2 linked regions of the Saccharomyces cerevisiae S288C genome follow. The gene in region 1 interacts genetically with each later gene. Each region holds a gene or a part of one and is shown on either strand. Other genes may lie near its edges. The genes, in order: MAK32 and YLR162W.

The links.
Region 2: mutations in MAK32 (region 1) and YLR162W together harm fitness more than expected from each alone (negative genetic interaction), as found in Saccharomyces cerevisiae (one large-scale study listed by BioGRID).

The regions. Positions count from the first base shown.
Region 1 is NC_001135.5:150,610-154,534, forward strand, and holds MAK32 (Mak32p), read left to right. Parts: upstream 1-2,227; coding exon 2,228-3,319; downstream 3,320-3,925. Other genes in the region: PET18 (Pet18p), read right to left, coding at 3,403-3,925. UniProt on the Saccharomyces cerevisiae protein: Necessary for the structural stability of L-A double-stranded RNA-containing particles. Necessary for growth at 37 degrees Celsius as well as for maintenance of the killer plasmid.
Region 2 is NC_001144.5:487,712-490,561, reverse strand, and holds YLR162W (uncharacterized protein), read right to left. Parts: upstream 990-2,850; coding exon 633-989; downstream 1-632. Other genes in the region: RRT15 (Rrt15p), read right to left, coding at 1-156; YLR161W (uncharacterized protein), read right to left, coding at 1,221-1,565. UniProt on the Saccharomyces cerevisiae protein: Overexpression confers resistance to the antimicrobial peptide MiAMP1.

The sequences.
Region 1 (3,925 bases):
GGATTTTTTGTGTGGTTTTGAAATTAAAACATTTTTAGAGGAAAATTGTGATCACAGAATTTCACATTCCCAGTTACTTTAATAATATTCATAGTTAGAGATGAAGAGGTACTATTAATATGAAGGTTAAGTATGAATCTTCTCATGCTTCTATAAGCGAGGGATATAAAACATCGCCAACTGTTTCATCTTATTTATTATCAATATTATGTGTGTTTGGAGCTTACTATACAGTTAATGTGATAATTAATATAACTCTTGTATAACTACCATATCAATGTTCAATTAATAGATCTTAAATCGGTTTCATTACTACCTGAACTGCATGTATGAAATTTCCTTCCACATTAGGCACATTCACATGTAATACGAGATGTACATCTATATGTGATATTAGCATTTACACAGCAATCCTATATCACTATTAATGGCCACTTGTTCCAAAAAGTATATATTATGAAGCGTATTATTATTTTATACTCAGATAGCTGGTGCGATACGTTCGCAGATTTTGAGCGCAATGCAATGAGTATGACGGAAAGGTTCACTCATAATTTCAATAACTCAAGTTGTTTGAATTTAAAATACATTCCCCGTTAGATAAGCTATAAACATTGTTACTTGCGCTTGCGGCACATGTAATGTAGTTTCTTTCTTTTTCCAAGAAAAAAGAAAGCCCTGTAGGGGGCTCGAACCCCTAACCTTATGATTAAGAGTCATACGCGCTACCGATTGCGCCAACAAGGCTCTTTAATTATGAAAAATTACGTTTAATAAGTGACTTAAAAATATAAATACTGTTACTAAAATGTGAACTAAAACCTCAATATTATTTTCTGATCACTTGATGAATAGCTGGTAATTGTTGGATTCCATTGTTGGTAAAGGCTATAATTTTACGTATATAGAATTGTTGGAATAAAAATCCACTATCGTCTATCAACTATAGTTATATTATCAATATATTATCATATACGGTGTTAAGATGATGACATAAGTTATGAGAAGCTGTCATCGAAGTTAGAGGAAGCTGAAGTGCAAGGATTGATAATGTAATAGGATAATGAAACATATAAAACGGAATGAGGAATAATCGTAATATTAGTATGTAGAAATATAGATTCCATTTTGAGGATTCCTATATCCTCGAGGAGAACTTCTAGTATATTCTGTATACATAATATTACTGCCTTTATCAATAATGGAATCCCAACAACTATCTGAAAATTCACGTGATTCTCATGTGAGTACATCAGAAAACAACCACCTAACAACCGTGTTTGAATGTTGATCTGAAAACAAAAATTAATCTCTCGTACTTATTATGGATATTGTATTTTCTCAAAATTCCAAATGATTTTCTTGTTAGATGGTATTCACGGTCATCGGAATCTCAGTTCAATATCACCAATTTGCTTATAAGGTTTATGCAAGATAACATGTTTGGTCTTGTTCCCAAGTATAACTTAAGAAAAAAAAATTACAATCCAAGAAAGGTAATACAGAATTCATAGCAATAATGGGGTCCATTTTCAATAGATAATGTACCTGGAAGAAAAGGGCTGACTAGGAAACAAAAAGAAAAACAAAACTATGATACTCCATCAAACATAGGGAAATTTACTCGAATATGAAAAGTACAAATCTGTCAAAAGCACATCGTATATTGTCTTGGTTCCGCTTTTATTCAGAAGAATTACTGAAATGAAGAGGAATGACGTAATAAACAAACAACGATTCTGATATCAGAAAGACATCTTGAATATTCCTATGTAGTAATTAACTATCCCAGTACTTACAAACATAACTTGACGATGCACGCTACGATTTTTGTGTGTTTAAACTTTTGTTGGTTGGGACTCAAGAAGATCTTCTCTGAGATAATTGTAATTAAATGTACTTTAGGAGTGTTCATGTATAATTTGCCTCTGCAAAAACTTAATAATGTATTTTAAAACTTGCATGTTGCTCTGTGAATCTGAATGTATGATAATGCTACGATTACTCTAGGGAACTTCCTTTTTACATTTAAAATTTCCGAGATCCTCAGCTGACAAATAAATGTCATATCAAGACAATAAACGGTAGTGCTAAAGTAATTGCATATTAAACAGGCGCGACTAAAGCTTTCATCCCTTCTATTATTGCATAACCTGGCTATACATGAAAACACTTCTCACATTTGATTTAAGAAGTTTACTGTTCTAAGAAAATAAAGAACGTGATAATGATGAATGAAGAGGATTCTACAGAAACGAAAAGCCTAGTCATAACTAATGGCATGTTTATCATAGACGACATCGAGCGTAGTAAATATAATATTCACTATAAGAATGTCCCAGGAGGCGGAGGGACTTTTGCCATTTTGGGTGCATGCATAATATCTTCCGGCAATGTCACATCCAAAGGTTTGAAGTGGATAGTGGACAGAGGCTCTGACTTTCCAAAGGAAGTTATAAGGGAAATAGACTCATGGGGTACTGATGTGAGGTTTCGAGATGACTTTAGCAGATTAACTACCAAAGGGTTGAATTATTACGAGGGAAGTGATGATTTGAGAAAGTTCAAGTTTTTGACGCCGAAGAAGCAGATTAACGTCGATGACTGGATTTCCACATTTGGGCAGAAGATAATTGATGAAATGCATGCGTTTCATTTGCTATGTTCTGGGTCTAGATGCTTAGACATAATAAACGATCTGCTACGGGTGAAAAGTTCAAAGGGCACAAAACCAATCGTGATTTGGGAGCCATTCCCAGATCTTTGCGACTTTGATCATCAAAATGACATTAAAAGTGTAATGCAGAGGAACGATGTTACGGTAATATTATCTCCAAATGCCGAAGAATCAAGTCGCTTATTTGGTTTAAGTAGCAAGGAACCGACTAGTTTGGAAGAATGTCTAGCATTAGCGCATCGTTTCGATGATTTCATGGATGAAAACAATATGTGTATTCTACGATGCGGTGCCCTCGGAAGCATATCGGTAAGTGAGAAGTTTAAGAACGGACGAACCTATGACCATTTCCCCGCCTACCATTTCAAAACTCAGTCTAAAGTACTAGATCCTACTGGCGGGGGAAACTCGTTCCTTGGCGGCTTTGCAGTTTCTTATGCCCTAACGAAAAGCTTAGATATTGCTAGTATATGTGGGAACATCGCTGCAGGCGCAATAATTGAACAATTCGGAATACCGAGGTACGATCCAATTGCTAAAACCTGGAACGGAATCACATTCTTGGATAGACTGAAATTTTACCTTTCACAGTCCGGTCTTCAATATAATATAAACGATCTTTACAAAAGTCTAACACGATGATCATATCAGCTTGTTCATTGCTCTTATTTTTCTGCAAAAATATACATATATATATATAAGTAAGTGTTATATACTACTTGAGATTAGGCGTTGTAACAAGATTCAAAAAATTCGAACTCGAACTGTGAAACCTTCACAAATATGCTTTCCACTTCTTCGACGGGAAACTTGTCAACTTCAGCCTTTAGAAATTCACACCAAGTTTGAAAATGCTCACCATCATGTAAATCAATCCATTTTTGATATTTCCAATGCAACCCTGGGGCTCTAGGAGTATCACGAGCCCATCTCCAATAGAGTTCCTCAGCAACCCATAAGCTGGTTACTAAGGATGGCCATGTAATTGAGGCGTCCTTTCTCAGCTCATCTAAGAAATTAATATACGCATCAACGCCGGGGATCGCTTTATTGTCAAAATTATCTCTTTCTTCCTTGGTGAGGGATGGTGCCAATAATTCTAAGCAGTCATGAAAGTATGAGTTTTCATCATTAGAAAAAAATCCAATCTTTTTGGCTAAGGTTATTAAAGCGTGAGTAGTTGGTGCTAAAGAAGTCGTCTTACATATCAACCTTAAGCTAGTTTCAAAAAATTGCAGATCTTGTGAT
Region 2 (2,850 bases), on another chromosome or scaffold:
ACAATAAATTTCGCCAGGAGAGTTTGGCTGGGGCGGCACATCTGTTAAACGATAACGCAGATGTCCTAAGGGGGACTCATGGAGAACAGAAATCTCCAGTAGAACAAAAGGGTAAAAGTCCCCTTGATTTTGATTTTCAGTGTGAATACAAACCATGAAAGTGTGGCCTATCGATCCTTTAGTCCCTCGGAATTTGAGGCTAGAGGTGCCAGAAAAGTTACCACAGGGATAACTGGCTTGTGGCAGTCAAGCGTTCATAGCGACATTGCTTTTTGATTCTTCGATGTCGGCTCTTCCTATCATACCGAAGCAGAATTCGGTAAGCGTTGGATTGTTCACCCACTAATAGGGAACGTGAGCTGGGTTTAGACCGTCGTGAGACAGGTTAGTTTTACCCTACTGATGAATGTTACCGCAATAGTAATTGAACTTAGTACGAGAGGAACAGTTCATTCGGATAATTGGTTTTTGCGGCTGTCTGATCAGGCATTGCCGCGAAGCTACCATCCGCTGGATTATGGCTGAACGCCTCTAAGTCAGAATCCATGCTAGAACGCGGTGATTTCTTTGCTCCACACAATATAGATGGATACGAATAAGGCGTCCTTGTGGCGTCGCTGAACCATAGCAGGCTAGCAACGGTGCTCTTGGCGGAAAGGCCTTGGGTGCTTGCCGGCGGATAGCAATGTCATTTTGAGTGGGGATAAATCATTTGTATACGACTTGGATGTACAACGGGGTATTGTAAGCAGTAGAGTAGCCTTGTTGTTACGATCTGCTGAGATTAAGCCTTTGTTGTCTGATTTGTTGGCACGAGCCGGCGGGAGCGGGCTCATACTAACGAAGACGAACCAAAAGATACACAGTAGCGGGACGAGAGTCTCGCAGCTGTCTGGCGGGCGGCGAAGTGCGGGTAACGCAGTAGCGGCGCTGTGGGCGCTGCTCGAGCGTTCTGGCAGAGAGGCGGTCCGGGTAAGCGTGTGCTGCATCGTGGCTCTCAGGTCTGTTTCGCTGGTCTGTGAGCGCTGCGTGTGCGTGTGCGTGTGCTAAGACGGGGTCCGGGTAACGTGCTTGCGCGCGGAAAAAAAAAAAAGATTGCAGCACCTGAGTTTCGCGTATGGTCACCCACTACACTACTCGGTCAGGCTCTTACCAGCTTAACTACAGTTGATCGGACGGGAAACGGTGCTTTCTGGTAGATATGGCCGCAACCGAAATAGTTAGGTGTGGCAGCCGTACATATGGAAGCCGGGCGATGGCTCCGCCACGTGCAAAGTGCAGGAGCTTTGGAAAGAGCGTGCATATAGTGATGAAAACAGAGAGCACGGTTGCGAACGGAGGGTCTCACAATGTCTCAAAGGATAAATCTCTTGGTTTGCGGGCCGCATACAAGATATGATTGTAGTTTTTTCAATGGCTCTACTGTCCCACTGCTGTACAACAGAAAATGAGAGATCAGAGAAATAGTATTCCGGAAGCCAGTGGTGTTTACTTATTAGTTTTTTGACGCCACTGCGCGAGTTGCTGCCTAGCTGTTCCTTGGCCAACGCATATTGGAACTTCATTCGACTGATATGCTTACTCAGAGGTCCATTACTTCAAGAATTGTCTCACCTATCGGGCTTGGCGTTTGTACAAGAAGAAACTTTCATCACCTTTGTTTCGCCACCAAATGAAAAAAAAAACTTGCATGGCTTAGGTGGTTCTTTGTCAGAAATATCTTCTAAGGATCAAGAGTCTTACGTGATTCTAATCCCTTGGCAAGTCAGATCTCAAATATGCTCACTCGCAGATGAGTAGCAATGAATGCGACCAAGTGACTAGTGACTGGTGACGACATGAGCCAAGCTGGAACCAGCAGCTTTCACGTCGGCTTATAGCTCTCTATGGGGCAATCAACCACTCATAGTGACTGAAGATCTTTTTAATATAATTACATTGCTAAAAACGTCATACCGCCTTGTGAGCACGATAAACAGCATATGCATTGAGCCTTGTTATTCTTCGGAACTGGGGATAGTAAAATGCGACCCGCTTAGGATGATCAAGCTATCTTTGGGACGGAGTTTTGTCATGGGAGTGGTCATCCTACTGGTGATGCTTCAACATTTGATTTACTAAATTTTGAAATCGGCCGCAGAATAAAACTATTATGTCCAAACAATTGATGGTCGAACCAACGTTAAGGGTTTCAAGTATTGAATTGAACTTTTATGAGTTCTATAATTTCGTTGCGCAAATTCAACTAAACCACCAATATCCCCCCTACAACGCTACACTTTATACCGATAGAGGAATAACGCATAGAGCCTTCGTAGAATTCTTCAACTCGTACGTGATGGGGATTCTAAACCTATCGTCATGTCGCTGTACAAGGCTGCTGCCTGCTTTCAAATTCCCAATTTTACCATGTCCGTTTCGCTGAGCCGAATCGTCACACAAGGTAATTAGTTCTGGGTATCGCTTCAGTATAGCACTGGTTTTTTCCTTGTAAAACCACAGTCTAACAATTAAATGAAGCTTTTCGAAGAAATTAGACCATGTTAGACTGAAAGCAAAGACTCCGGCCCGTTCTGAGGTAAGTTCAATGAAATTGGACAGTTTCTTTTCAAGGTTAGGTTTTGTGTTCGAAAAAAATAGATTACCGCACCTCCTTTCCAAACCCCATGAGTTTCCATTAAGGAAGAGCAACGTCAATAATACCACCTTTTGCAGATGTGATTCAACTCAAGATGCTGTAATCTTTCCCTTCTGACCCTAGATCACCTCATGATATCCTTTTGAGGCAATTAAAGCTGCAGTGTAAACTGTTGAATATCTTTTTGAAACCAAAAAAAAGGACGTTCCACA